Linked DNA regions of Drosophila melanogaster. The protein of the gene in region 4 interacts with the protein of the main gene of each other region in a pairwise test. Each region holds a gene or a part of one and is shown on either strand. Other genes may lie near its edges. The genes, in order: CG30461, CG11562, Vha68-2 and CG31988.

What was found.
Region 1: the proteins of CG31988 (region 4) and CG30461 interact in a two-hybrid assay, tested with the Drosophila melanogaster proteins (one large-scale study listed by BioGRID).
Region 2: the proteins of CG31988 (region 4) and CG11562 interact in a two-hybrid assay, tested with the Drosophila melanogaster proteins (one large-scale study listed by BioGRID).
Region 3: the proteins of CG31988 (region 4) and Vha68-2 interact in a two-hybrid assay, tested with the Drosophila melanogaster proteins (one large-scale study listed by BioGRID).

The regions. Positions count from the first base shown.
Region 1 is NT_033778.4:16,993,161-17,001,439, reverse strand, and holds CG30461 (uncharacterized protein), read left to right. Parts: upstream 1-2,845; 5' UTR 2,846-2,869; coding exon of another isoform or gene 2,870-2,980; intron 2,981-3,039; coding exon of another isoform or gene 3,040-4,299; 5' UTR 4,300-4,377; coding exon 4,378-4,448; exon of another isoform or gene 4,449-4,620; intron 4,621-4,688; coding exon 4,689-5,084; intron 5,085-5,138; coding exon 5,139-5,349; 3' UTR 5,350-5,449; downstream 5,450-8,279. Other genes in the region: ste24a (prenyl protease type I), read left to right, coding at 1-1,084; ste24b prenyl protease type I, read left to right, coding at 1,341-1,442, 1,496-2,737; ste24c prenyl protease type I, read left to right, coding at 2,870-2,980, 3,040-4,299; Cbp53E (calbindin 53E), read right to left, coding at 6,883-7,029, 7,087-7,158, 7,224-7,280.
Region 2 is NT_033779.5:289,312-295,687, reverse strand, and holds CG11562 (uncharacterized protein), read right to left. Parts: upstream 3,270-6,376; 5' UTR 3,120-3,269; coding exon 3,028-3,119; intron 2,972-3,027; coding exon 2,686-2,971; 3' UTR 2,466-2,685; downstream 1-2,465. Other genes in the region: Stip1 (stress induced phosphoprotein 1), read right to left, coding at 60-342, 408-416; U2af38 (U2 small nuclear riboprotein auxiliary factor 38), read left to right, coding at 1,204-1,247, 1,316-2,066.
Region 3 is NT_033779.5:12,971,624-12,981,236, reverse strand, and holds Vha68-2 (vacuolar H[+] ATPase 68 kDa subunit 2), read right to left. Parts: upstream 6,916-9,613; 5' UTR 6,794-6,915; intron 6,616-6,793; exon of another isoform or gene 6,491-6,615; intron 6,052-6,490; exon of another isoform or gene 6,014-6,051; intron 5,836-6,013; exon of another isoform or gene 5,768-5,835; intron 5,624-5,767; 5' UTR 5,601-5,623; coding exon 5,525-5,600; intron 5,112-5,524; coding exon 4,414-5,111; intron 4,306-4,413; coding exon 3,328-4,305; intron 3,261-3,327; coding exon 3,168-3,260; 3' UTR 2,630-3,167; downstream 1-2,629. Other genes in the region: Vha68-3 (vacuolar H[+] ATPase 68kD subunit 3), read right to left, coding at 43-1,125, 1,189-2,337. UniProt on the Drosophila melanogaster protein: Catalytic subunit of the V1 complex of vacuolar(H+)-ATPase (V-ATPase), a multisubunit enzyme composed of a peripheral complex (V1) that hydrolyzes ATP and a membrane integral complex (V0) that translocates protons.
Region 4 is NT_033779.5:21,199,158-21,206,163, reverse strand, and holds CG31988 (uncharacterized protein), read left to right. Parts: upstream 1-3,361; 5' UTR 3,362-3,730; intron 3,731-3,891; 5' UTR 3,892-3,911; coding exon 3,912-4,448; 3' UTR 4,449-4,671; downstream 4,672-7,006. Other genes in the region: CG31624 (uncharacterized protein), read left to right, coding at 6,227-6,763.

The DNA.
Region 1 (8,279 bases), on a different chromosome or scaffold from region 4:
GCTCTGGCAGCTGTCCGTCCAGGTGGTGGATAAACTGCAATGGGACTCCAAAAACGAGATCATCGTCAGCTGCGTTTTTGTGCTCATATCGAATGTATTGAGCACTTTCAAGGGACTGCCCTTCAAGATCTACAAGATATTCGTGCTGGAGGAGACGCATGGCTTTAACAAACAAACAGCGAGATTCTTCGCCTGGGATCAGCTCAAAGGCTTCCTAGTCACCCAGGTCCTCATGATTCCCATCACAGCGGCTATTATCTTCATCGTGCAACGCGGCGGCGACAACTTTTTCATATGGCTGTGGATCTTCACAGGCGTTATCTCGCTGGTTCTACTCACTTTGTATCCGATTTTCATTGCTCCCCTGTTCGACAAGTATACTCCGCTGGAGAAGGGTGCTCTGAGGCAATCGATTGAGGATCTGGCCGCATCGCTCAAGTTCCCGCTCACTAAGCTTTTCGTGGTGGAGGGATCCAAGCGCTCCTCGCACAGCAATGCCTACTTCTATGGCCTCTGGAACTCGAAGAGGATCGTGCTATTCGACACGCTGCTGCTAAACAAAGGTAAACCGGACGACTCCGAGTTGTCAGAGGAAGAAAAGGGAAAGGGTTGCACCGACGAGGAGGTGCTGGCTGTTTTGGGACACGAGCTGGGACACTGGAAACTGGGACACGTTACCAAGAACATTATTATCATGCAGGTTCATCTCTTTCTGATGTTCCTGGTCTTTGGAAATGTCTTCAAGTATCCACCATTCTACGTGGCCATGGGATTCCAACCTGGTACTCGGCCCATTCTCGTCGGTTTGCTAATCGTCTTTACCTACGTACTCGCGCCATACAATGCCCTCATGAACTTCGCCATGACAATTTTGTCGCGACGATTCGAGTATCAGGCTGATGAGTTCGCTTTCAAGTTGGGATTCGCTGAGCAGTTGGGTCAGGCCCTCATAAAACTGAACGTTGACAACCTTGGCTTCCCCGTTTACGATTGGCTGTACTCGACTTGGAACCACTCACATCCGACTCTTCTCCAGCGCCTGAATCGACTCAAGGAGCTCAAGGAAGAGAAGAAACTGAACTAAGACAGCTCACTTCACATAAGACCAAAGTTTACACTATTCCCTTTGATTTAACGTACACAAAATAAAGTAAGGGGACTTACCCCAACAAGCTATTTAAGATTTTGCAATGTGGAAACGTGTATCTTATGTGATTCCCAAAACATGTAAGCTAGTAGTTAAAAATCCGTCACCAATAGATTCAAAATGATTTCCTAACGGAGCTTCAAAATTAAGGAAATATGACTAACATGTCAAGCCGTTGTCAGAGGAACCCAACATGTCTGCACATTTCTGGGATGATCCACTAGCAATACTCTACATAATCATAGCTTTCTTGGTTCTGGACAATCTATGGGGCGTATATCTGATGCTGCGGGACGTAAGTGATGATTACATCTTTCGAGTACATTTTGGATTAAATTGCTCTTTCAGATACAAGTGGCCTACAAAACGCAACAAGTACCGAATGTTATCAGCCCCTATCTACCACAGGAGCTCTACGACAAGATGCGCGTCTACAAGATTCACAAGGGCTGGTTCACCATTGTCAACACCCTGCTTTCGGCAGTTATATTGGGTATTATGGAACTATACTTCGGCTTCTATGCCTGGCTGTATGGAGTGGCTGGAAAGTGCGCCTTGTCCAAGTGGATGGAGCATGAGGCTTGCGTATCCGTGATCTTTGTGCTTCTCCTGAGCGTGTATTTTTGGCTTAAAAGCGTACCGGCCATGATCTACGAGAGCTGTTGCATCAAGAGCTTGCAACCCAGGCCAAAACCACCGTGGTGGTCCCGCATCTGTCACTTTGTCGTTGACCTGGTTGTGGGAGCGATGATTACCACCTTGGTGGTGGTCGCCCTCGTGTACATGTTTATCGGCTTGGGGCCATATGCTCCCCTGGGCTTGTACCTTCAATCGCTGATCCTGACAATGATCGTACTCCTCTTGATTCCATTTATGATCCATCCATTTGTGGGCCAAAGTGTACCCCTGGAAAACTCAAACTTGCGCACCCAACTGGAGTACCTTACGCGACAAGTCGGCTTTCCCATGAGTCAGGTGCGCATCATCCGGGTGCATGACCCTAACACGGGAAGTAATGCCTTTTTCTACGGATGCTGCTGCCTGAAAAGAATTGTGATCTTCGATACATTGCTGCTCAATAGAGGCAAGTCAGATCTCTCCCACCTGACGGCAGAGGAGCTGGGTAGGGGACTTGCGGATCCTCAGGTGGTTGCTGTGGTGGCCCACGAACTGGGTCACTGGAGGAATGGACATTTTTACAAAGCTATCATGGCGTTCCAAGTCCATCTCATACTGACGATCCTGCTGTTCGCGTTTCTGTTTTCTCATGGGCCCATTTACCAGGCGGTGGGATTCCCTCCCGGTCTCCAGCCGACAGTCATTGGATGCTTAATAATCTTCGGCTTTGTACTGACTCCATACATGACACTGGCGAACTTCAGTATGCTTAGCATGACGCGTTGCTTTGAGTACCAGGCGGATAGGTTTGCCTACCAGCTCGGATATGGAGGAGAACTTCGACAAGCACTGCTCAAACTATATGCGGATAATCTGGCATTCCCCGTTTCGGATCCTTGCTACTCCAGCTGGAATCATACGCATCCCACCATGCTGGATCGGTTGAGTCGTCTGGAAGAATTTCGACGATAGGCGATATATTTTTTATCGGTGTTTCTCAAACATAGTAGCTTCTGATTGAGTTATCCGTCTTGGGTAATATAGATATATACAATATTTTACAATAAGTAAACATTGTTTGTTGGGGGAACATGATAAGTTTTGATGGCATTCTACGATACTTGGCCGAAAGTAGATCCAATCATAGTGCTGGTGGTGTTATGTCTGATCGTGTTAGTTGACCGGATATGGGAGATGATACTCACCAAGAGGCAGGTAAGTAGTGGATTGGTTGTTCCACCCATGAAGAACTGATCGCGGATTTCTTTCACCAGCAATTGGTGTGCCTGAATGCGATTATGGTGCCGGAGGAGCTGAGAGGAATCATTCCGCCGGAGATTTACCATCGGGCCCGCATCTACGAGCTGCATAAAACGGAGCTACAGATATGGAAGTACCTCATCGACTTGATTATTACGCTCTGTGAGCTGATATTGGGCTTCTATCCATTCCTCTGGAGCTTGTCTGCGAAGACTCTACAGAAAATAACCTCCCAAGAGATCTGGATAACCTTGATCTTTGTTTTCTACCTGACCATTTACATTTGTATAAGGTTCCTGCCGGTTCTGATCTATGACAAGTGCCTGCTGGAGTTGCGATATGGGATGTCGGGCAAGTTTCCTTGGTACCTCTACTGCTGCATTGGAGCAATGTCCATTCTCCTAAGCCAGCTCGTCCTGTTCCCGTTGGCGGCGGCCATTGTGTTCAGCGTAAAGTTCATTGGGTACTACTTCTTCCTTTGGTTCTGGCTGTTCTGGGCTACGTTCACCCTGTTGCTGGTATTTTTTTTGCCCTACTGCTGCATTCCGTGCATTGGACGACAGGTGGTTTTACCAGAGGGCACTGCCCTCTATATGGAGGTGAAGCGTGTTTGCGATGTGGTTGGCTTCCCCATGAAGAGGGTATTTATCATAAAGACCCGGACAATGCAGTATAGTAATGCCTACTTTTACGGGAGCTGCTGCCTGAAAAGAATTGTAATTTTTGATACCTTGCTATTGAACAAGGGCAAGGAACCCAATGAGATCCATCCCTATGAGGTGGGCAGAGGTCTGACCAACATCCAGGTGGCGGGAGTGGTGTGCCATGAGTTGGGTCACTGGAAGCACGGACATTTCTACAAGGCTACGATCATCATGAAGATTCACTTCTTTATCACCATGGGACTCTTCGGATTGTTCTTTCACTCTCCCCAGCTATACATGGCAGTGGGTTTCGAGCCTGGCGTTATGCCCATCATAGTGGGTTTCATCATTGTTCTGAAATTTGCCCTTACTCCTTATCTCACGTTGGCCAATGTCTTGATGCTGTGGAATCTGCGTCGCTTTGAGTATGCCGCCGATAAATTTGCCCATCGCATGGGATACTCCATCCAACTGAGGATGGCGCTGGTTAAGATCTATGCGGATCATATGAGTTTTCCGGTCTACGACCAATGCTATGCTCGATGGCATCACACTCATCCCACGATTCTTCAGAGACTGGCCTATCAGCAGAAACTGGATGTGAAGGCCATGAATGCCGGAACCTATTAATCTCAGTAGTCGCCGACCTATACATTCGTTTGATTTTGTACGTTTTTCGAGATATCCTGTAAAATTGACCGTGTTACCATGACTCGAAAACAAATTGCTACGCCCCGCTGTGAAACTATCTCCAAATTGGTGGTCAGCGTCGGCAGTGGGTGAGTTTTGCAAATTCCGAAGGAGGAAACTGGGTTGAAGGATCCTTCAAGGGAATTTCTCAAGCTCTTATAGGGTCCTTCTCCTTTTTTCTTTTATGTAAAATTAAATCTTTGAGGAAGTTCTAAAGTATGCAGAAGTTAATACAGAATATATTAAAGTGCGAGATTTAAGAAGTTTCGATTCATTACATTTACATTATTAATTTCCGAATTCAGTGCTCTCCAAATAAAATCCATTAGCGAAACTTTTCTTACTTATGCAGATGCTACAACACGATCCTTCTGCGCGAATCCCTCGTGGCTGAACTTTCAAAATGGCATGATGGAAGTGGGGCCGATTAGTAAACCGAATCCCCATGATTCTCAAAAGGAGGCAACCTCGTTTCTGGAGCGACATTTCGGAAGCAAGCGTCTGGACTCCGAGCAAATGAACGCGGAATTTAAGAACAGGAAGACGATTATCTGGCACACTTGGCTGGTGGAGAAGGTGCGGTTTCCTCCAGCTCAGTGTGCGGTCATCAAGGAATGGAAGGATCCCATCACGGAGACTCTGGGCATTTGCTATTGTTCCTGGCACTTGCAGAGCTGCATGGCCTGGCAGCTTATTCTCAGTAATCGAATGACGGATGCCAAGTGGTAACTACCTTGTATCTAATGTTATTAGTGGTTACCTATAAAGTTCCACCATAGCTTCTGTTCGCGAATCAAGAAAACGATGGACATTGTCAACTGTCTCGTTGACTCGGAAGTGGAACAGGAGAAAACATTTAAGGATTGTTCTTCCCCCTTAGCCGTGTTAACCGAGAAAGTGCTTGATGCCACTGATATGCTGAAGAAACTGAATGATCTTCTAGAGCTCCAGGAGAAACTCAATCGGAAATACAAACGCCTGTGTGTATAGAAAAAAAAATAAGGAAATCAAAAGACTACTTTTGGAGTGCTGACCCCTTGATGTCTGCATAGATTGTATTGTATTTATTTTATTAAAACATTTCTGCTGTATTTCCATAGTGTTAGACATATATCCATTTAGATATTCGATATTTGGTATCTTGTTTCATATAGAGAAAGTCCGTTTCGAAGCTTTACATGCATGTGGTTTTGAACAATATCTTAGGATTAGCATAAGTATGTTATCATATAGTGTTGTATCGTAATTAGTATATTTATATGATAAGTTGGCATTTTGTTGCATGGCATCTTTACTCAGGGTTTCATTTTTAAAGGCGATGGAATTGATCTATTTCATGACTATGGCTCTAAAAGTGAATCTTTGGGCAAAGAGCGTTTCAGGATTGGAACAATTTGTCTTGGTTTTAAAGCTTAAGTTATTAGTTGTTAGTTATTTAGTTAGTTAGGTTTCGAAAGAATACAATGATAACAGATGGAGAAGGGAATACGTATCGAAACAAGTCATAATGTATATATATAGCTATAGCACCTTGAAAGAACATTAGATAGTTCGTAGCGTTGTTGGTTAACTTTAGGTTTTTGTTTAGAGGTTAAATAACCAATTTGCCTATGTTGCGAAATTGGGTGAAAATTTTAGCCTTAAAACGGCGTCAATCTGCACCTCGTAATCTCCCCTCGGGTGAAAAAAATACAAGGACGAGTGCGTGTCCAACATTAACTGGATGCATCACCACCCTCCAGCTTGACATTGTCACGTTCAGGTGGCGGATGCATTTGCATTTGCATTTGCATTCACCTGCATTAGTGGCGTCCACCCTCGGGCTGATGTAAGTGCCTCTTGATTGATTGATTGATGCTTGCGGGGGATATTCATAGCACAAGTGCGGGGAGTTGGGCGCGGAATGCAGCCGCCCACTTTTAGGGTGTACTGTCACAATGATTAACAACAATTATCTACAGATTGTAGCCACACATATGTTTTTACTTAGGTAGTCTCAAATAAATGTGGTATCCTTAAAAATAGCTACATTTATTTCGATTTTAATTGGTAATTAAATAAAGTACGTTATGCAAATACACATAGAAAATATAAATACATATATAGTATAATATAAAATCGATGTACTGATCTTGTTGTTATCATTTCTTAATTTTTTACTTTAAGTGGCTCGATTCTGTGTTGCAAATTGTTTGACTGGATAAATTTCCGTTTTGGTTTGATTTTGGGGGAAATATATACTCTCAATATCTTAACGTACGATAAACATTTATTTAAGATTTGAACATTTATATTAGATTTATTTTATACCAATAGCTTCGTTTCGGTTTGAATCTCTCAGGATTCATCCCCGATTCCAATATCCTTTTATTTTTTTGTTTATTTGCTGCCCCTTTTAATGCAGCTCTAAAGTAAACAATTGCCTTGAAGCCCATTTTGGCCTCATTTCTGGATTTCCCGCGTTCGGGTGACAAAAATAGAGTTGGCTAAAATCTCTTTTTGGTATGTTCTCGAACATCCGGCTTACTCCTCGTCGTCGGGCGATATTTTGGCCAGTGTTAGCAGAATCATGGTCAGTTCTTTCCGGGAGATCTTTCCATGCTTGTCGGTGCCAACTCCCCGCATGATGGTCTCCTCGAAAGCGGCCAGATCCTGGGCATCATAGTCGTCCTGGCAACCACACAATATTAACATTTTATTTCATTTGTCTTTAAGAGCGACACTCACCTTCTTGACCAACTCCAAAAGGTCCTTCAAGAAGCCTTTGAGCTCCTCATTTTCAATGGTGCCGCTATTGTCCTGTAATGATATCATATTAGATTTTACATCTTTATATATATTCCTTAGTCTTTTGCTTTACTTACACGATCGTAGAGTGAGAATACTTTTTCAATATCCTCTTTGGTCAACTTTGTGGCGCCCTGTGGATATAAATTGCAATCCTCAATATAATATTATCCAACAAGTTTTGTTTATATGCATGTTCCACATAAAATAGTATTTATAAATAAGATTTAGCATACTTTTTCCTACATAAATAAAAGTGTTTGGATAACGTACAAAAGGAATAAACTAAATTTAATTACGAAGTATGCTAAATCCATAAACAAATGTGTGTAGCAAAACAGTTTTTTTTAAGATTTGCTTAGACTATCTTGAAATTTTCCAAATGGGTTACCCTTTAATATCATAGGCCTAAACTACGGGTCAAGTTGTATTGGTTGGTGCGATTTTGGTTTTGATTAGTTAAGTATAAAGGTATGAGCTCATGCAAGATACAGCTAATTATAATGAAAACATGCTCTTAGAAATGCAATGGGAAATGGGACAAATTTGTCTTAGGAAAATCCTAAGAGATTAATAAACATGCTACGTATGTATAAAAAACTTGTATACCAAATTCCACACTCATTCATTAAGCTTAACGTAAAAGCCTAATTATCCTAAATAAAACATACTGCCGTTTAATATATGTGTTCTCTGCCGTTGACACTCGCTAATTAATATGAATTATTGCCCAGGTAGAGCAGATTTGTCATTACCATTCACTGCGCTCATTCGGGATTTTTCCGGATGTGTTTTCCACGAGGGAACACGAAATTTATCGATTCCATTTGCGCCCGGCAAATTGCACGAATTACTTTGCCCCCATATATAAACCTCCTTTCACATACATGAATTTACCCCCCACATATACTCATGCAGTTTGGAATTTTGGGGGTTATGCAATGTGGCCAAGGTGGCGCCTCAAGTTCACTACACGTATGAAAAAAATATGGCAACATAGTGAAATTTCAATTTAAATTTTAAAAAATGAGCCGATAGTAAGTTGCTTAATTATACAAGAGAAAACATTTAAATCTCGTAAAATGTTGCCTAAAATATGCATCAGGGATGAATCGTTTAATATAATGTACTAT
Region 2 (6,376 bases), about 21 Mb from region 4:
GGTTAGTGAGGTTAGGTCGGGTGATTCATGGCATATAACTGAGCTGTGTTTGAACTTACCCTCGTTGTACGCTTCGAAGGCCTTCATAAAGTCATTCAGACCCGCAGCGGCAGCTCCTTTGCGTGAGTAACCCTTAGGCCAGGTGGGATTAAGCTGAATGGTCTTCTCCGCATCTTCTAGCGCCTCCTGGAACTTTCCAGCCTTGGCGAATGCCGCCGAACGGTTGCTGTAGAGCACATGGTTCTGGTCGTCCAGAGCGATGGCCTCTGTGTACGCCGCCACCGCCTCGTCGAACTTCTCGGCACTGAGCGCCTGGTTACCCTTTTCCTTGAGTTCGTTCACCTGCGAAAACCGCAAGGGTTTTTGATTGGAAATGCCAACGCCTTTCCTTTGTCTCGGGCACTTACCTTGTCCATTTCTGATAAGGGAGAGGATAGCGCTGTCGAATTACAGTTTTTCCTGTATTTTTGTACGACTTTTTAATAAAACACGCTGCGAAATGTGCCGTGCCAGGTGAAAATGCGAAAAATGCCGACTTTTCTAGAAGCAATCGATAGGGTTGTCAATGCTTCTGCGACTGAATTTAATCTTTTTCCAGACTGCGGTTTAGAACTTAGCTCGTTCTCAAGCGGGGAACAAAACCAGCAAGCCTTCTTAAATAATTTTTTCCATTGCTTATATAAATTAAAAAAATTGTTGATCAAATATAAATAATACCTTGAGCTTTATAGAATTTAAATGTTATTTTATTGTATTGTTTATTTATGTTTATATTATATTATTATTTGCGTAAATAATTTTCTCAATTTCTTATTTTGAATTGTAAAATTTTTCTAGTCAAATGAAAAATAAGTCCTCAGGCTTTTAAGTGCATTAATATTTAAATATTTGAAATTAATATTTAAAATGTTAGCATATTTTAAAACATTTAAATTAAGAACAGAGGTATCGAAAAACGATGCTGCCAAAAACACTAAATATCGATAACTAATCATCGATTTTATTTGCAACTCTAGATTCGAGGCTGGCAACGCCGTGCAAAATACGACCAGACGCTGCTTTTTTCGGTTTCCGAAAATAATTGAAAATTATCACTAAATAAACAGGCGGCTAACATAATTGCAGTTTGACCGCGTTGCAGAGACAAGCGGGTAGATAAGTTACACATTTTGGCCACAGCAACACCACAGTAAAGCCGCCAGCATGGCCGAGTACTTGGCATCCATTTTTGGCACGGAAAAGGACAAGTAAGTCGCATGGCACATTTATTTTAACGTTGCCGGGATTAATAACTAAATGGCGTTGCATTTCCCAGGGTGAACTGTTCGTTCTACTTCAAGATCGGCGCCTGCCGCCACGGCGACCGGTGCTCTCGCATCCACAACAAACCCACTTTCTCGCAGACGGTGCTTCTCCAAAATCTATACGTGAACCCCCAAAACTCCGCCAAATCCGCGGATGGCTCCCATCTGGTGGCCAACGTCTCCGACGAGGAGATGCAAGAACACTACGACAATTTTTTCGAGGACGTGTTCGTAGAGTGCGAGGACAAGTACGGGGAAATCGAGGAGATGAACGTGTGCGACAACCTAGGCGACCATCTGGTCGGCAATGTGTACATCAAATTCCGTAACGAGGCTGATGCGGAAAAGGCGGCAAACGATTTGAACAACCGGTGGTTCGGTGGTCGACCGGTGTACTCGGAACTATCGCCGGTGACCGACTTCCGCGAGGCTTGCTGTCGGCAGTACGAGATGGGCGAATGTACCCGCTCCGGCTTCTGCAACTTCATGCACTTGAAGCCCATCTCGCGTGAGCTGCGAAGGTACCTCTACTCCCGCCGCCGTCGTGCCCGCTCCCGTTCCCGATCCCCTGGACGCCGTCGCGGCTCCCGCAGCAGGTCCCGATCCCCGGGTCGAAGAGGAGGCGGCAGAGGCGACGGTGTCGGCGGAGGAAACTACTTGAACAACGAGCGGGACAACATGCGTGGCAATGATCGCGGAAACGATCGCGATCGCCGCAAAGGTGGTGGCGGAGGAGGCGGTGGTGGTGGTGGACGGTATTAAATATTCTGGACATTTTTTCTGTACGGTGGCAATTGAGAGAGAAAGCAACGGACAAGCAGTAACGCAAAGCATCGTGTATTTTAGTCTCTGCGTTGGTTTTCCACGTTTTTATATCACTTTTGAGTAAACGAGATGGAAGGAGGAGGAGGAAAATGACGATGGGGAGTTCCACCACCTATGTACAAACCCCCCGCGAAATATTTTACCGAGCGCCCATTAGAATTGTAATTTACTATACATACATTCATAATAATAAAATTGAGTAATATTATACTGGAAGCCATAGTAAGAAATGGGTCTAATTGTCAAAAAGTCCAGGCACTCAAAATAAAAGACTCCTCACAGGTATGGATAACATCCAGAAGACACCACCCCTTGTTAGGCCTGCAGTCTTATTTCGCTTTGTAAGATTGAATCTTACCACGTTGTTTTAATTATATTTCCATGCGCAGATGGCTTCACCAACTGAAAACGATCAACAGCGTAAATGATGCTGTCAACTGTCTTAAGACGAAATCTTAAAATCTTCAAAAATGCGTACATTTGAACAACGAAATTCTTGTTTTCCCCGACTTAGTCTTAGATTTTAATAGGTGCATATTTAGGGGCATATTTGTGATCAAGCTATGTCAGTTGGCGGGCTTCCATCGTGATTAGTCGTTCCACCCTGAGGAACACCTCTGAAAGCCTCGCCTTCATTTTGCACTGCTGGCTTCTCCGCTTGAAGATTACTCTGTGCGCGATGCGTCGATGGAGGTACGGGCGTGTCAGAGGAGTTGCTAGACGCCTCCCTGGCTTTCAGTTGCTTGGTCATGTCTATTTGCTGCTGCAGCGTGTAGGTATTCTCGTGTTTGCGCCGTTGTTGCTGCTCAACGTCCCTCAGGACACCATCGTGCAGTCTCAGGCTGGAAGTTAGAGATCGGAGGCTATAACTTTATTCCGGAGTATTTGGCTTACTTACCGGTCTGCCGATTGTTTATAGTGCACATAACCTATGATCGCTGTGGAAATGGAGACCGCCAGTCCCAAAGTCACTCGCGAAGCGGTCGACATGACTGGGCACCGGTCTGCCGCTGGAGATTTCCGCCTAAAATGCCTGCACTAGGAATTTGGCTGTCGGGTTGTGTTGTTTTGAAGTCGGTTCGGGTTACGACATGACTTTAAATTTGAAAGAAAAACAACAGCACCACACAGCTGACAAGAGAGTGGCCAGTTTACGGAAGCAAAGTTTTCCCTATCCAGAGTTAGTGCGCGGGAAAATCAAATTAATTCCCTTCAAATCAGCGCAACACTTTTGGGGGTCCTAAAGCCAATTGCAGTTAGAAAATCTCAGACTATTGAAAACTTGAAGCTTTAGACGAAAATACAATTTCGAAGTGATGTATATAATAGCGATTTCCGTATCTAGTATCTACATACATATGTACTACAGAACTTCTAGCCTTTATCAATGACTTTTTATTTAGGTTTTTTATACTTTTATCTACAGCTATGACGCAGTGCCTAAAAATAAAAGCAGATGCTTATCTCTCCGCAAAGATATCTTTTTAGTTATGCCTGCATTGTTTCGACTCATCTGGTTACTCACTAAGCAACATACATCTTAATGGGTGGGGGCGATTCATTCAGGTGATTGGCCATCATTAACCCATAATGGAGCCCACACTCCCGAATCCGGAATGCGAAGCCCGGAGTCCGTCTTCCGTGGTCGGTGGTCCGGACATGCGCAGCACGCACCTGATGCGAGCGACTGGAGGAACGACACCACAAAACCGAGGCAGAGACAGAAGCAACAGCCAAGTACAATGGAAACGAGTACAAAAGGCAGGAGGCAACACGGCGTATGGGCAACAGTGCGACTCCAGTTTTCCATACGCTCAGTTGTGCCCGCGGTCAAGGGAAAATCGCAGCCGAGCACTTCCTCCGAGCGAAGCCAAAAAGAAATCAAGAAAATACTTAGCGTGCGTGTGCCGGGGACCTGGTGATTTGTTCAGAGTGTGGAAATCAAACGAAAGGCAATCAACAATTGTTTTTAAGGGCCATAAAAACCATTAAGTTATTAACATAACCGATTTATAAACAAGAGCCACGGGGATCTTCTTCCAGGGCGGTCAAGATTTTCAAGATTTTTTCAAGATATTCCTGGCCAACTTTAGGTTCCATTAATATTTATGTCGGTGACGCAAATATTGATTTAAATTTGTGCGCGCTTTGAGTTGACGAAAGCGAGGTGTTTTGACTCAAGAGCTAAAACACCTTGACGACGATTTTAATTCACTTCTTTCGCCCCACCGCAAAGCACAGACAAAAACAATACACCAATTTTTCTTTTAAAATTGAAGAAAAATTTATTTTCAGTTTATCAAGGGATAGTAGTTCTAAATGGTTTCTTTCTTTCTTTGCCTAAAAAAAAGTTTTATACTTAGCACTTTGTACTACATGAAAATTTCACAATTGTTGATTTAGATATATAATTAAATTATGCACTGTATATGGAACACTGAAATGTAGCGAATTAGAACTTGAGGAACATATTGCAAAATTTTTCTGCCCGTGTAACGTGAAGTCTCCTTTGGCTTTTCCTGTGTAGGATCTTTGAAAAATCCACAAGATGACCAAAGTTGAGCTATACAAGTCGCGCGTCTTTGTGACAATCATACACCTGTGTGCACTCGGCCAATTCGCCTATGGACTCTACTACAGCTCCTTCGAGATCCAAAGGAGCTACAAACTGAAGACGAGCCTCAATCGCCGCCTGGTTCCCGAATCGCTGCCCCAGAAAATCAAATTGCTGTCCTACTGGTCGCTGGTAAGTTAATTTACGGCGTGCCCATCGAAAGCGCCACAAAGATACAGAGATACATATGTGAGAAATTATGGGAAATTAAAAAACAAGACGGAAATGCGGCCAGCATCGGTTGTTTCAAGTGTTGAGCTCGAGACCAGAAAAATCAGCGAAGGAAAAATTATTTATATTCTAGGCCCGTATGCCGATGTTCGGGTTTATGTGTGCCATATGTTTGTTTATTTGTTTGTCTGTTCGCTGGGGATCGCCCCCTTTCCCCTTCGATTTTCTCTTACTTGCACGCTCTTTTTATCGGCCAGGCGGGGTCAACAACTGTGGAATACGGAGGAGTATCCGCCAGATACGGGAGCTGTGCTCGCCGAATTTCCTCATTCGCGCTGCACTTTTCCCTGATGGCAATGCACATTCCGTGTGGGAAAGCGTTTTTCGGCATTTTCTCGCCCCAAGTGTTTATTTGCTCAGATGTTCGCGGTTTTCCAGATTTTTGATTCCACTTCTTGACGAATGCGAGATTATCTGATGGGCGCCAATGTAAATGTGCCATACGTGGCAGTTGGCTTCGATTTGGTATTCTGCTATTCGGTGCTTCTGACGCCTCATTTACATATCGTTAAATTGTTAGAAAATCGATGGATTATTGCATTTTTCTCGCAGCTCCTTGGCAACTGGCACAAGCGAATGTTTCATTGTTGAATTGGTGAACGAATTTCATTTCGAATGGGTAAATAAATATGTCTTGAATTTCGGCCCACAGAAAAAAAAAGAAAAAATGTATTAAATAAGGAAATTAACGTCACTTAAGAGAAATTGTACTTGTAATTGAAGAAAAATGTATGCTGCCACAAATCTGGTTTTAAAATGGGCTATAAAATACATACATATATATAACGAGTCCACTTCTGATGTTATCTCCATACATTTTTCTCAACTTGACAATATTTCTGCTCAATCTCTTTAAGATATGACCCAGAAATGAAGATATTTTTGCATTAATTGCATTTATTCAAGAGAAGGAATTGTGCTCTTTTTTGATACGATGCTTTTACATATGTACATATTTCCACACCACGGCTTTCCATTTCCGTGCGTCTTTCCAGGAACATCTTAGTTTGTTATTGCATGACCTTGCTCGCCCTTGATTAACGCCGTCTGTCCCGCAAAAAGTACTTTGATCTGGTCAGCATAAAGTGCTTTATATCTACAGATCTTTTTCTTTTATGTAGTCCCTTGAAACGATCACGAGAACTTTTCGGTGCCACTACCATCCGGTTCATTATTTTCGTTGTCGAATTTTTACCTTTCTTCTGGTCTTCTGGGCATCTTAAAAATCTGGTGTGCTGAAATTGTTTATATCGGCGCAATCAAAATACAAATAAACTAACTATGTTCTGACAAACAATTGCATTGTTGAAGCAAACGTGAAATTATCTGTGTACGCTTTTTGCCAAATTCTCTTCGATTCGAAACAATTTATTAGTAAAATATATTTAAAGAAAAGATTTAG
Region 3 (9,613 bases), 8.2 Mb from region 4:
ATCGATACAATAATTTAAGTCTTCACTTATCCATCACAACTTCTAATAGTCCTCGACATTATCCTCTATCTCCCGGAAAGTTGAAAGGATATTGTCATGCAGCTTGTTCATGCTCTCCAGGACAGTCGCTTCGCCCAGCTTGGGATCAATGAACTTCATGGTGGAGAGCTCGTACAGAATGTTAGCGGCTTTTATACGGATCAAGCCCCAAGTTACACGCGCCTCATTGTCCGCCGTGTTCTGCACCGACAGGATCGCCGCATCATAGAAGGTCATCATGTTCTTCAGCATGCCAATGGTCTTGAAGAAGGGGCAGTAGGCATCGTACTGACTGTAGGAGTTCTGCTGCAGGAAATCGTCCTTCAGCATCTTGGCCACCTCAAGGGTGATCTTGTCCTCCTCGTTCAACGACGACTTGCCCACCAGTTGGACAATTTCCGCCAGGTCATCCTCCTCCTGCAGCACCTTCTTGGCCTTAGCTCGCAGATGCGTAAACTCCGGATTGGATTCCTCGTAGTAAGTGTCCAAAGTGCGCATGTACTTGGAGTACGATTGCAGCCAGTTCACCGATGGAAAGTGTTTCCTCTGGGCCAGCTTCTTGTCCAGACCCCAAAAGACCTGAACGATGCTCAGGGTGGCGGAGGTCACGGGATCAGAGAAGTCGCCACCGGGAGGCGACACAGCTCCCACAATGGACACGGATCCCTCACGATCTGGACTGCCCAGGCACTTCACCAGTCCGGCTCTCTCGTAGAAGGAGGCCAGCCGAGCTCCCAAGTAAGCCGGATAGCCAGCATCGGCAGGCATCTCGGCCAGACGTCCGGAAATCTCACGCAGCGCCTCCGCCCATCGAGATGTGGAGTCCGCCATCATGGACACATGGTAGCCCATGTCGCGGAAGTATTCCGAGAGGGTGATGCCCGTGTAGATCGAGGCTTCTCGGGCAGCCACCGGCATATTGGAGGTATTGGCCACCAGGGCAGTCCGCTTCATAATCGATTCCATGGTGCCATTGACCTCAACCTCAAGCTGCGGAAAGTCCCGAAGAACCTCGGACATTTCGTTCCCGCGCTCACCGCAGCCCACGTAGATGATGACATCTGAGTTGGAGTATTTGGACAGGGCCTAGGGGTATAAGTTGATTGGAATGTAATCATTTGTCAACTAAACTCTTAGAAACCCTCTCACCTGTGAGATGACGGTCTTTCCACATCCAAACGCTCCTGGAATGGCAGTGGTTCCGCCCTGGACACATGGAAAGAAGGCGTCCAGGACGCGCTGGCCAGTCAAGAGTGGTGAATTGCTGGGGAGCTTATCCTCCACCGGACGACACCTCCGTACGGGCCACACCTGGAGCATGGTGTGCTTGGTGATCTCGTCGTTGAACTCCGTCTCCACGATCACCTCGTCCACGCAGTAGTTCCCGGGCGGGGCCAACCACCGGATGCGCCCCTTGGTGCGGGGCGGTAGTATCAGGCGGTGATCGTGCATCATGCTGTTTTCGAAAACAGATCCGTAGATGTCTCCGCCGGTGATCAGAGCATCGATCTTCAATTTTCCGGGTGTGAATTCGTACGCAATGTTCCTGGGCAGGGAGGGCGTATCGATGCCCTTGGGCACGTATATGGAGTTGGTTAGTTCACTGATGGACCTCAATGGTCGCTGGATACCATCGAAAATGCTGCCCATGATGCCGGGTCCCAATTCCACGGAGAGCGGCTTTCCCGTCTGGTAGACGGGATCACCCACGCTCACACCCGAAGTATCCTCGTAAACCTGAATGGTGGCCATATCACCCTCCAGTCGAATGATCTCACCAACAAGCTGGGAGTGTCCAACGCGAACCAGCTCGTACATGGCTGCGCCGGCCATCTCCTCGGCATTGACCACCGGACCGGAGACTCCGAAAATGCGACCCATCGTCGCCTCCTCCTCTTCTTCATCCGACGAATATTTGTGCGTATCAACCACCTGCTCGATCACAAAACCCGAGTCCTCATTCTTCTCCAAGGCGATGTGAGCGCTCTTGTGGGATTGGTCCGTCGAACGTCTCAAGTCCTTCAAACTGTCCTCGTCATTGACTGTATCATGGGGACTTTCCGGCTCGGCTACAGGCTTGCGTGATTGAGGGGGAGGGGGTACCGGATTGGATTTATGGTCATTACGTTGGCAAGCGCAGGTTGGACATGTGCACTTCTTAGCCGGAACCGTTGGGTGAGGCACGGACCTTGGCTCCCCATCTTGGTTTAACGATCCCGAGTTGCGGGCTCTGTCTTCGTTACTTGCGTTACTGTTGGTGAACGAGGTAAGCGGTGCAACCCAGGACTTCTTTTCCATTTGGTTTAAATATATACAATTTTTTCACTTGGTACAATTTTTACTAATATTGTCAAATAAATAAAATAAATGGGGCAGAAGTTTATGGAAAGACTAAGGTGATGACTGAGAATGATATAGGATTTTAGATTATGCTTTTCAATATATTCCCATTTTCTTAGCTTTCATATAGTCAAGTATGTTTATATAATGAAGGTTTAAAATTCAAAAAAATATTTTAACTTATTATCTTTTTATCGAGTTGACACATTTTTAATATCCATTCTGCTGCCAGTGAAATTCACTTTCAATTACATTAAATGTATTTGTTGTTGCACTTTATTCGTACATTTAATATTTCATACTTTAAATATTTACATAAATTTAACAAACAAACAGGGAGAAAACATGACTTTTTTCACAAATAAACAAGAATTTCCATTCATTAAACAATAATACTATTTATGCATGCATTTGTATTTGTGTCTTTTATGTATGTGTTGTGTGTGCGCCAGTGTCCGTGTACTTTTATTCAAGTGTATGTTGGTGTTGTTGTTGTAAATGGAAGTACATAGCAGGACGTTGTAGTTGCTGTTGCCTAGAGTTGCCCTTCAAGGGGCGGAGGGGGCGTGGTTAGGGGAAAGTATTAACCGCAGGCCGGAATGTTTACATCTCTCGCAGGCACCAAGAAGTTGTGGTATTTGTTGGACTTTTGTTTTTCATCGAATGCAGCACGGAATTGTTGGTGTTTGATTAGGCTTTTTCGGATGGTTTTTGACTGCTTTCATTTTTAAACGTTAACTATATAACAAATATAAGATTAGAGTGTAAAAGTAGGGCCAGCGCGGTCTCTAGTCCTCCAGATTTCTGAAGGCCTGCTGCAGGTCCTCGTGCAGCTGCTCGAAGTCAGCCTTGATCTTGGCCTCACCATCCTTAACGGGGTCCTGAAATGGATTGAAAAATGTGGTCACCCAGTGTCTAGGCAATGGATAAATTTGCGTGTTAACCCACCTTGAACTTCATGGATGACAGCTGGTACATAATGTTGCCCATTGCCTCACGAATCACGTTCCAGGTGATCTTGTTCTCAGACTGAGCCGTAGACTCCACGGAGTGACGGGCCATGTCGTAGAAGTCGATGATGTTCCTCAACATGCCCACGGTCTTGTAGAAGGGGCAGAAGCGATCGTACGAGGAGTAGGAGTTCTGCTGCAGGAAATCGTCCTTCAGCAGCTTGGCCACCTCCAGCGTGATCTTGTCGGTTTCGGCCAGAGAGGCCTTGCCGACCAGTTGCACGATCTCAGACAGATCCTCCTCCTCCTGCAGGATCTCCTTGACCTTGGTACGCAGCGGCACGAATTCGGGGAAGTTCTTGTCATAGAAGTCATCCAGAGCACGCATGTACTTCGAGTAGGAGATGAGCCAGTTGATCGAGGGGAAGTGCTTGCGCTGGGCCAACTTCTTGTCGAGACCCCAGAACACCTGCACGATACCCAGAGTGGCGGAGGTCACGGGATCGGAGAAGTCACCACCAGGAGGAGACACAGCTCCGACAATGGACACGGATCCCTCGCGCTCGGGGTTACCCAAGCACTTAACGCGACCGGCACGCTCGTAGAAGGAGGCCAGACGGGCTCCCAAGTAGGCTGGGTAGCCGGAATCGGCAGGCATCTCAGCGAGACGACCAGAAATTTCACGAAGAGCCTCAGCCCAACGGGAGGTGGAATCAGCCATCATGGACACGTTGTAACCCATATCACGGAAGTATTCGGACAAGGTGATACCAGTGTAGATGGAGGCCTCACGAGCAGCCACAGGCATGTTGGAGGTGTTGGCCACAAGGGCGGTACGCTTCATGATGGACTCGGTGACACCGTCGATCTCCACGGACAGCTCGGGGAAGTCACGCAGTACCTCAGACATCTCGTTACCACGCTCACCGCAACCGACGTAGATGATGACATCGGAGTTGGAGTACTTGGACAGAGCCTGCAAGCAAGTAAATGATTTATTAGGGATTGTATTTTTATGAAACTTGAGTGTATGGAGGCTACACGAGGCATCGCTCCTTAAATTCTCAATTTGTGGGACTCTCACCTGCGAGATCACAGTCTTGCCGCAACCGAAAGCTCCGGGAATGGCGGTGGTACCGCCCTGGACACAGGGGAAGAGCGAGTCGAGCACACGCTGTCCGGTGAGCAGGGGGTGGTTGGCGGGCAGCTTCTCGGTCACGGGACGTGGCTGACGCACTGGCCACACCTGCAACATGGTGTGCTTGGTGATCTCTCCATCGAACTCGGTCTCCAGGACGACATCGTCGACCTTGTAGTTGCCGGAGGGGGCGATGTAGCGCACTGTTCCCTTGGCGCGGGGGTTCACAATCATCTTGTGCTTGACCAGAGTGTTCTCATGCACCAGACCGTACAGGTCACCTCCGGTGATGTGGGAGCCGACCTTGACGTTCAGGGGGTTGAACTCCCAGCTGGCCACGCGGGACAAACTGGGCACGTTCACACCCTTGGGGATGTAGATGGATTCGGTCAGCTCGTTAATGTCCTTCAGGGGACGCTGGATACCGTCAAAGATGCTGCCCATGATACCGGGTCCCAGCTCCACGGAAAGAGGCTTGCCGGTACGCAGCACCGGATCTCCGACAGTTACGCCAGAGGTCTCCTCGTACACCTGGATGGTGGCCATGTCACCCTCCAGACGGATGATCTCGCCCACCAGCTCGTAGTAGCCGACGCGGACCAACTCGTACATAGCTGATCCAGACATGGCCTCGGCGGTGACGACTGGAATGAAGCGGTTGGTCGGGTTAGGGGGGCTACATTTCATTCAAGAAGTTTTTATAACTCAGCAAACGAAGATAGGTTCCATTGAACATTTTCTTTTAAAATTTTTTATTATTAATGATACTTGATGATGTTTTTGTTAGAATTATAGAAAAAAGTTTAAAGAAACAATTAATTAATTATTAAAATTATTCACATTTAATTTTGAATAATGAAACCAAAATGTTTGAGTTGTTTGAATATTAATCACAAATAGGTGGACACATTTCTAAAGTTGCCATTATTTCACACAGAAGTGTAAGTTCTAGACTAATCATCAAAGTAAGGTTTCCAGTTCACAGGTATTATTAACTTATTTTTATTAACTTTTAGATAGCATGAGTTATGGTTAGTCAGTATAGTTAGGTGCTTACCAGGACCGGAGACAGCGAAGACACGTCCATATTTGGACTCACGCTCCTCATCATCGAAACGCTTAAGGTTGGACATTTTGCTTTATTCTGTTTTTTCGACTGCAATGGAGGGAAAATAGAAGAGGAAAATTGTTAAATGCTGGCTGCAAAAGGGCGAAGATAAAGGTGAACATTTTCTTATCACTAATTTCTTGCTCAGCCCTCTGTCAGCTGACAAGGGGCAGGTGTATCTGCTACATTTACAGGTTAAGTTTTTGTAGAGCCCACAGCTCCCAAATTTTTCGATTATAGGTTATAAAGTTGTAGGTTAGCAGCTAATAATTTCGATTGATTTAATTATTTTTTTTTTAACTCCCCCTCTTTGATTATGCTGCGTAAAACTTTAAAAGCAGAGCTTTCGTTTCACGTGACAGAGCTTTGAAAGTTCGAAGAGAGCAATTTGTCAAACTAATCGCTAAATAAATAAAATAAGAGCTGTGAAAAAACAACCACAGGTTGACAAATTCAACGGAGGAATGTAACTGAAATGCATGTTTTTCAAAATATGCGGGTTTTCATAATTATCAGCAAAGAAAAACAAGAGAGGGTGGAGTGGGAGAGCAACTCTCCGCTCTGGCTCTCTCGCTCTCCATTCGAGTTCGAATATTTGACAATTGCTTTTGACGTTGATCACAAGACTACTGTCATTGCCGTCAGCTGACAAATGAAAAAAAAGTGGGTAAGGGAAATGGTAAAAATCTTTGGGCCGCCTTTTTTACGTCGCTCGTTCTCCATATTGGTTTTTCATTATCGGAATACGAATAACTCCCACTTCTGTTTCGAGTTTCGAAATGGGAGAGCAAGCGAGCGCAAGAGCGGCGGCGATCACAAGACCCGCGGTGCGACAGGGATGGAGCGAACACGGGGAAGGGGGTCAGCTGACAAGGCAAAATAATTTTCCACGCGCAAATTTTCACGTTTTCATACCGCACTTTTTCAAGCTCCTTGGAAAACTAATTGATATTCGGCTTTTTTAGGGATTATTTTACTCAAGTGTGGACTTGTGCTGCACTTATTATCTAACACACTTGCAGTCTGTGTGCGTGTTTTCGCTCTGCGCTTTGATCGCTGCTTCGTCACTTTTTCGGGGCGAATTCAAGACGGATTTCAATGCCGCTTTCTTTCGCTAATTGTTTAAATCGCCCAGAACCGTCTTCCAGCCATTCCATTATTTATTGTTACTTATTTGCTTTGGGTGGGTGTGTGTGTTGGTGGGGGGGAAGGGCTTACTTTGCTGTGTCTTCGCGTTCACCTTGCGAACGTGTGATTGCTGCTTTTCTCCAACAGAACGAACTAAAACCGACTGAGCCGCAGAAATAAAACGTCGACGCTCGCACTTCGAAAAGCTCTCTACCGCGATTCGATTTCGATTTCGACCCGTGTGATCGCGAGCTTTCCGCGGCGAGCTTGCAAGCGAAGTTGTGAGCTGATATCGAGTGCGAGCGAAGCTTTCGCCAATCGATGTGCGGAAGCGAGATGGAGCGAAAGAGAGCTAAAGAGCGGGTGGGGTCACACTGGCTTAAAGAAGTTCGTGGGTTGATTCTGAAGTTTTGGGAGTAAACGGGATCTTTTCAAAGTTGCTAATATCCAATTATTTTAAGTCCATTTTAAGTCCTCGATGATCAATCGGTCCAAATTAAACAATCATTTTCTTAGCTGCTTATAAAATCAATAATTAATTTGACACTGTATAAACGAGGAATATATAGCTTAAATACAAAACCTGCCATTGTATAGTGTTAAGTGCTCTCAATAAAAATGGCAATCAATTAGATTCCCATTTAAATGTCCAAAAAATGCAATTTTAAACTAATCAATTGTGGAAATTGGCCGGTGCGAGGGTAGACTAATAAGTTCACTAAAGCGCAACAACACGCCGTTAGCAATTATTTTAAAATGTTTATTTATCGTCGTTTCCCCTTTTTTTTTTATTACCATTTTAAGTAAAAAAAAGAAACTGACAGCGGTGGCAAAAACTTTGATTAAAATCCGCATCGTAAAAAGGTATTTGCCAATGATTTAAGTTTTTGCTGCCCTGCCCCTTTGTTTTTTATCCATTATTCTATCTTCCGTTCTTCTAGTTAGGATTCCACGCTTTCCCCACTTTTTTTTTGTGCTGTAGTAATCAATGAGAATGGAGCAGCGAAAAAGTTAAGATTAACCCGATCAGATTGTTTTTATGCTCTTGCGAATATACTTTTTTAACATAAAATAAATAGCACAATATGCAGCGATTATCAGATTTCTTTAAGTGGATTCTCCTTATTTAAAGAGGAAAACGAATGTGCTAATTGAAAATATTGAGAAATTCGCATAACCAAACTATATGTTTATAAGAAGTTTAATGTTTATATAACTTAACCATTTAATTTGTTTTTTATTATATTATTATCTTAGATATTTTACATGTGAGTGTAACAACATAATTGTACTTCTTTTAAATCATAATATGGCTAGAAAACCTCATTTAAATATTTTAGTTCTTGAGTCCATGCTAGTTTTTTTTTCAGTGTCGCTGCACTCAGCTTGATTTAGCTAAATTTTCGGATTGCAGTCAGCAAAAGTGGCAACTACAACGCAAAGCCATGCTAACATAGAAGTCGAACAGCGAAAGCCTCTATGTTCCCGAGATGCGAAGGATACGAAGGACACGCCAGGGGCAGAGGGTAGGTGTGTGAGTTCTGGCTCCCGCTCTTTGCATAACTTATAAATCGATGACGTTGGCAGGCAGCGAGAGCGCATCTCGAGTCGCAGCATTTGCATAATAAGGCAGCAGTGCATGTGGCATGAGGATCTGCCTGCGATTCATTGCAAATTTCTATCAGCCCTGTGAACGGGGATTCCCCTCACTGCAGATGTATGCGTATGTGTGTGAGAGTGTGTGTGTGTGAGTGATTGAGTGACTGAGTGTTTCGGATTCTGATTCGGTGTCAAAATGGCGCAGAAAAGTGCTCGACTGACTCTGCTGAGTGCAGAGCGCCAAAGTGGAATGAATTTGACACATCGAAACTGGGATATGCACCCTTATCCACTCGATTCCTGGGCCACTTTCCAGTGTTTTTCATAGTATGTCAGTGTCCTGGATAAAATCTTTGTCGTGTTTATCACAAATATGTATGCATTGAAATCAGCATTTTTGGCAACATTTTAGTGTGAAAAACTTCTAAGATGTATTCTTGTAGCATCGAAAACTTCGATTGTTAGACCATTTCATTAAACAGAAATGCAATTCTATTTCCAAAAAGCCATATACATATATTCGAAAACTATTGGTTCAGTTAGGCATTAAATGAAATTATCATAATTTAGCGTTCTACTGGCTTCCGTTCGCTGATTTTGATTCATTTTTGAGCTTCAGGCTGTACTAACTTTTGCTCACAAATCTGCATATCATATGTATGTATATATATATTTGTAATAACTTTATGCTCGCTGAGAGATATTTCGACTGCTATCTGCTTGTTTGGCTCGACCTCCATATAGATACATATATGGATAACTGTATACATTAAGTCATAACTTCATTTGGCGGCCATGGGCATTCATTTAGTTTATGTCTGTGCAACTCGGGCGGTACGCGAGTCCCCCTTCACATCGCCGCCCATCTCGATAAATTCATTTGGGTCTTGTTAGGAAGGCTCGGAACCGCCAGCACCGCCAGCAGCCATTGGCCATTGGCTAATCTTGTTGCGCATTGCCATAATTTTCAATTTACATGCACCCAGTGAGACCGACCACCCCCCTCCCAAATTGCCACCCACCTCCTCCCGCTTGGCACCAACAAACGGGAGCTATCCGGCGAGTCAGTCCGGGCGTAATATTGGTCACAATAAATTGACTGCAATGGCACTACCATGTGTGTGTGTGTGTGTGTGTGTGTGCCGAATGTGGGTGTGAGTGTGTGCACTAGAAAATATTTAATACTCAGACATTTATTTATTTAAATTTTATGGTGGAAAGTGGATAGTTGCAGTAAAAGTTTCGTTGAATGCATTATAAATACCATATGAAATTGCGCACATATTATCAGTTTAGTGATTTTCTTATCTA
Region 4 (7,006 bases):
AAATAATTGTGTATAAATGATTTCAATTATCAATGAACTCAAATCCCATTTGGCCAACTGACTTTTAATGGGGCTGCGGTCCTGGCCCAAATCAAAGTTCAATGCGCCGTGTGTCTCGTACATGTATCCTGTGTCCTGTATGTTCCCCGGATGCATAATTAAATCGTCGCGTAATTGATTGCAACTCCGTTTCTGTCATCTGACCTGCTCCTCCTCTTGTTACGGTTTGAACGTTACAATTATACATACGTTTCCTATTTTGATTTAAATTCAAACAAACATACATTAGCCATGTTCCACGGGAACTCAAAGTTGTGAGCTTTAAGACAAACTATACGTCCTGAAACCAATGCTATATAGTTGTCTCACTTAAATATGTACATATGTATGTACGTATCGCTGCATCAGAAAACTTTTTAAGTCTATTTGTGGTAAAAAAAAATATATTTGAGTTTTAATTGAAGGCAATTTTTGTAAATATTCCTACGTTCCTGTGGGTGCGCTAATTTTGTACATCAATGACAGTTCTTGGTCATCGGCGGTCAGCACCGACATATGTCCGCTGATAAATATGTATGTACCTATGTACCTAAGTATCAAATGTACATATGTACATAAATTCATATGCAAGAGACGTCGCTGTTTCGAATCCTTCTTGGGAAAACCAAAATAAGTTGCATAACAAACAGGAATGACATACATACAACAAGTAATCGTACCTATGTAACATGAGTACCAACACGCCCAACCATTGCACGGTATGCTGATATAACGGCTTTCGGAGGAAGCAAGTAAGCGTGCCCAACAAAAAACAAGAGAGAATTTAATAGTCGAGTTCCCCATTACCCGTTTCTCAGCCAGTGTGAATGCGAACGCAAAATTTAATCATTTTTCTGGGATATCGATAGATATTGGAGAATAATATGAGGAAAAAAAATGGCAAAAGTGTAGGCGTGACCGGTTTGCCGGCTTTAAGGGGTTAGAGTGGGCGTGGAAAAAATATGGTTTGCAAATCGATAGAAATTTAAGCAACTAATACAATTGTGTATAAATGAATCTCATCCTTCTAGCTTTTATAGTTCCTGAGATCTCGACGCTCATATGGACAGACGGACATGACCAGATCGACTAGGTTATAGATCCTTATCAAAAGATACATACATACATATGTACTTTAACGCTTCCTTCTGCCTGTTACATACTTTTCTACGAATCTAGTAAACAAGAGAGAACGCTATACTCGATTTCCTCTTCTATCTGATTCCCTGCTAGAGTATTATTGCTCCCAAGATCTCAACGTTCAATCGGTCATAAAGACGGCGGTGTCCAGATCGATTCGTCTAGTGATCCTTATTACAAGTGTCGTTTCATAAATTATTTGTGCTTTAACACAATCCAAGGAACTGCCAAAATTATGCAGCTAATTTAAAAGCTATAACCGGAGTTGCCCAAATTACCCATTAACTCACGTATTGTTTATCTCCACAAAAGCAACATATTCTAGTCACAAAATCTTCTGACTACTAACGGCATTATGAACTAGGTGCCATTTTTGTGGATTTTTTCGGCTCATTCCTCTTTTGGCCTAATCTAATCTTGCGACTAATTAAATGTACTCACACGAATAAAACCACCCGAGTGCAGTTGAGAAACCCAAATAAATTATTGTGGGTCATGCAAGAGCGTTTGCAATTACGAGTTGGCTTGAAGGACATATTTATGTGGCCCCAAAGGAGCAACTCTTTGAACTTGTCCCACAAACGTGCCAAAATATAATGTTGCGCCACTCTGCGCAATTAGAAAGTGCGCGAACTGGATGCAATTATCGGTTAAACATGGGAAATTCTTAGTAGTACTCAATATAAATAATTACGAGCAGCTCAACCTATATTCGGGGCTGGGAATTTGGATCTGTATTTGGATGAGGATGTGGATGGCATACGAGCACTCTTTGGCATACGCAGACAGACGCCTGACACAAATTCCCATCCGACTTACACAACTAGCTCGCCCGTCCGACTGGTGCTGCAATTTCAAATTCCATGCACCGCATCAAAGCGCAAACCAAATTGTGACATGTCCTCCGCCGATGACTCCCGAGCGCCACCAGGAGCTCCACACCCCCACCCCCGTTGCGTAGCGACCGCACACATTGCTGTGCTCCACCGAGTGGCCTTCAATAGGGAACAAAAGATGTTCCACAGGCACACGAAAAAACTTATACTTAAGTTATACAATAGTTCAGGGTTTGTGGGTAATTACTCCACGATATATTATTCAATAATTCTCTAAATCATTTTGAATAAGTTAATACAGACCTACTCAGCTCACACTTTTAAAAAAACTCATACAGAAACACGAAAGTAGCTAAGACTGTATAGAATACTTTCAATTTTATTACACAAGTTACTCGTAGAGTAAAAGGGTATACTAGACTCGTTGAAAAGTATGTAACAGGCAGAAGGAAGCGTTTCCAACCTTACAAAGTATATATATTCTTGATCAAAATCAATAGTGGAGTCGATGTAGCCATGTCCGTCTGTACGTATGAACGTCGAGATCTCAGGAACTATAAATGATAGAAGGATGAGATTCAGCACACAGATTTAAGAGACAAGTTTTTGGCCCATGTTGCCACGCCCATTCTAACGCCTACATACCGCACAAAACTGTCACTCCCACACTTTTGAAAAACGTGTTGATATTTTTTCATTTTTTATATTTTTATTTTCTATCAATTTGCATAAAAACTTTTTGCCACGCCCACATTTTTGAGAAACCTTTCGATATAATATTTTCATATTTCGACTTGCCAAACAACTTGTTTCTCTTGTTTTTTTAATAATTGGATGTTTTAGTAATATTTCTTTCAGCGAATTCATTTTTTCGAAGTGCATGATCCACGATGAAAGAGGCAACGACGACCCTTCTGGCGAGTCGTTTGGGTGGATGAGTCCTTTAAAGGAGTAGCCACCACCCCAGCCCTTGTTAATTGCCGGCTATGCGGAAGTTTCGCAGGATTTTTGCTTTAATTAAATTTTGTATAATAAATTGGGAAACATTCTAGCAGCGCCTTCAAGGAAATGCCGCCCCTTTGCTTGGAGAAATCACCCTTGAAAGTGGAAGACCTCCCTTATTATTATCCTTTTACCCATTTATTAATGGTTTTTGGTGTGACTAATTCTTATACTCGAATATGTATAAGTGACTAAAGTATGTTTATAACTTTCGGTAAGGAGATAAAATTATGTTAAAGAAATCACAAGCATATTGCCATCTATTTAGGCAATTAACCTTTTGATACAAATTTAAACAGTAGTCACAGTAACATAGAAAGCCTAGAAAGGAAAATCAAATACTTTACAGTCCAGTAGGCGATGCTTGTACATTTTCTAGATGTCAAAACATACCCCCAGCGTTTCCATCGAATATCTCATTCAGTTTTTGAGTCTTGCTAAATTCATACGTTTTCATTCGTTTCGTTTTCTATAGTTATTTGAATAAAAACATCAAAATTTTTCAAAAAAAAAAAAAAACAGTATCAAAATTTTGTCCAAGTCCGTATTGCTTCTTTTTGTTCTCCCATTTTGTGTGAACCATCTAGAAGAAAGTAAAGTAAAAACGGTGGCCCTGTGAAAATTGTTTTGATATATGAGAAGAGTACGATAACGAATTCAGAAAAAAACATTGCGAAAAGAAAGAGGAAGTAGTGAAACAGGCGCCAAACCCAGTAAGAAATACATCCCATCTTGAAATTAGTACAGAATTATAATTTCTCTCATTGATATTTGCGTTGCCTATCCAGCTTTCATTGTTTCTTTCAATAAATCGATAATCAATAGCAACCCTGTTTTGTACATGCGTATTAACAAACACATTTTTTTTTTGCAGTTACCAATCGAGAAGCCAAAATGACTGAGAGCATTGTGTGTCACAAGTGCCAGGAGGCCATCACCAAGCGTATGATCACCGCCCTGGGCAAGACGTGGCACCCGGAGCACTTCCTGTGCCACCACTGCGATGAGCAGATCCTGGATGCCACCTTCAATGTTCAGAGCGGAGAACCAGTGTGCAACAAGTGCTTCGTGGAGCGGTACACCTACACCTGTGCCGGCTGCAAGAAGCCGATCCTTGAAAAAACCATCTGCGCCATGGGGGAGAGCTGGCACGAAGATTGCTTTTGCTGCGGCGGTGCCTGCAAAAAGCCGCTCGCCAATCAAACGTTCTATGAGCGCGACGGCAAGCCCTATTGCAAAAAGGATTACGAGGACCTCTTTGCTGCCAGGTGCGCCAAGTGCGAGAAGCCTATAACGGACTCAGCGGTGCTCGCCATGAACGTGAAGTGGCATCGCGATTGCTTCCGGTGCAACAAGTGCGAGAATCCTATAACCTCGCAGACTTTCACCATCGACGGGGACAAGCCCGTGTGCCCCGCCTGCAATTGCTAACATCGTCCCGGATAACCATGGTGCATCCTTGCTCTTCCTCCAAATTGTTCATTTGCTTGCTTACAATAATGTTGAAATAGTTCCCGAAGCTTAGTAAGCCTAGAGGCATGCAAGAAAACAGACTTACACATTTAACACACAAACTTAATACACACACAAACACTAAATAAAAATAAAAAACAAATATGTTAAGTCTCTGTATTGGGGTAGACAGGTATACCCTAAGATTTGCCTTAGTGGTGTTGGTCACCCAAAATAACATTCTGATTACTGTGAGATAAGGTCGAGCAAGCCCTTTCCAATATGTTGCAGCCTTTCGTTAAATAACAAGCTTTTGGCAGCACTTTAAATAATGAATTATTTAATTTTAAAAACAAAAATTGAAGAGCTTTAAAAAATCTTTCCGTTAAGATCGCAGTACAACTGCCTTATCGATTCTTCTCGATATGAAGTGGTGGCCGTCTCTTGGCGTAGTCACGAATCGGTTACGCAGATGTGTAATCTAGATAAATATGGAATTAATACAAAAAAATTAAGAACAAGATAGAATTTTACATACGAGTTCCCCGACTATCAGATAACGGTTACTCAGCTGGTGTGAATGCAAAAGCGAAATTTAATAATTTTTCTGGGATATCGATAGAAAAAAATGAGTAAAAATTGTTTAAAAATGTGGGCGTTACTGTTTTGGGAGTTTTTAAGGTGAAAGGAGTGGCGTGTCCACAGTGCTTTTGGTATACATATAAAAATTGCCAAGACAAACAATAAAACGAAGAAAAATCTAAACATTTTTCAAAAGTGCGTGGCAGTTTTTGGCTTTAGGGCGTTTGAGTGGGCGTGGCAGAAAGTTTTTTTTGGCAAATCGATAGGAATTTCCAAGACTAATAAAAATATCAACAGTTTTCAAAAGTGTAGGCGTAGCAATTTAGTGCGGTTTTAGGGCGTGGCAAAAAGTTATGGAATTATGAAGAAATAATTTTCAAAATTTCTAAAATGTTAGCGTAGCAGTTATGGGCGGTTTTACGGCGTTAGAGTAGACGTGGCAAAAAGTTTTTTTGCAAATTGATAAAAAATGAAATGTAAAAAAATATCAAGACTTTTTTAAAAGTGTGGGAGTGGCCGTTTTTTGCGGCTTGTGGGCGTGGCAGCATGGGCCAACAAACTTGCGCTGCATCGTTGTCTCTAGAATTTGTATGCTGAATCTCATACGAACAGACGGGCATGGCTAGATCGACTCGGCAATTGATCCTGATCAAGAATATATATACTTTGTATGTTCGGAAACGCTTCCTTCTGCCTGTTACATACTTTTTAACGAATCTAGTATACCCTTATTATACCCGTTATTGCTTGTTGTTGTGCTCCCATTTTGTGTGAAACATCTAATAGAAAGTAAAGTAACAACGGTGGCCCTGTGACAACTGTTTTGATATATGAGAACAGTACAATTACGAACTAGGAAAAACACACTGCGAAAAGAGGAAGTAGTGAAACAGGCGACAAACCCAGTAAGAAATACACCCAATCTTAAAATAAGTACAGAATTATAATTTGTCTCATTAATATTTGCGTTGCCCAGTGTTTATCGTTCCATAGCCATCTTCCGTTGTTTCTTTCAATAAAATAATCGATAGCTGCCCTGTTTTGTACATTTTGTATTTTAACCTCAATTTACGATATATACGAGCAATTCAATCAAAAAAGAGTAATTGAACAATCCCTTGGTAATGCGCATTAAAAATCATTTTTTATTAGCAGTTACCAATCGAGAAGCCAAAATGACTGAGAGCATTGTGTGTCACAAGTGCCAGGAGGCCATCACCAAGCGTATGATCACCGCCCTGGGCAAGACGTGGCACCCGGAGCACTTCCTGTGCCACCACTGCGATGAGCAGATCCTGGATGCCACCTTCAATGTTCAGAGCGGAGAACCAGTGTGCAACAAGTGCTTCGTGGAGCGGTACACCTACACCTGTGCCGGCTGCAAGAAGCCGATCCTTGAAAAAACCATCTGCGCCATGGGGGAGAGGTGGCACGAAGCTTGCTTTTGCTGCGGCGGTGCCTGCAAGAAGCCGCTCGCCAGTCAAACGTTCTATGAGCGCGACGGCAAGCCCTATTGCAAACAGGATTACGAGAACCTCTTTGCTGCCAGGTGCGCCAAGTGCGAGAAGCCTATAACGGACTCAGCGGTGCTCGCCATGAACGTGAAGTGGCATCGCAATTGCTTCCAGTGCAACAAATGCGAGAATCCTATAACCTCGCAGACTTTTACCATCGACGGGGACAAGCCCGTGTGCCCCGCCTGCAATTGCTAACATCGTCCCGGACCCATGATCTTACTCCAAATTGTTTAGTTCCTTTCTTACACTAATGTTGAAATAGTTCCCGATGCTTATGAAGCCTAGAGGCATGAAAGAAATCAGACCCACACATTTGACCACACTTAACATTTCGCACACGCACACACTAAATAAAAATAAATATGTAAAGTCTCTGTATTGGGGTGGCCAGGTAAACCCTTTTATCGTTAAGATTTGCCTAAGACCAACAACACCCAC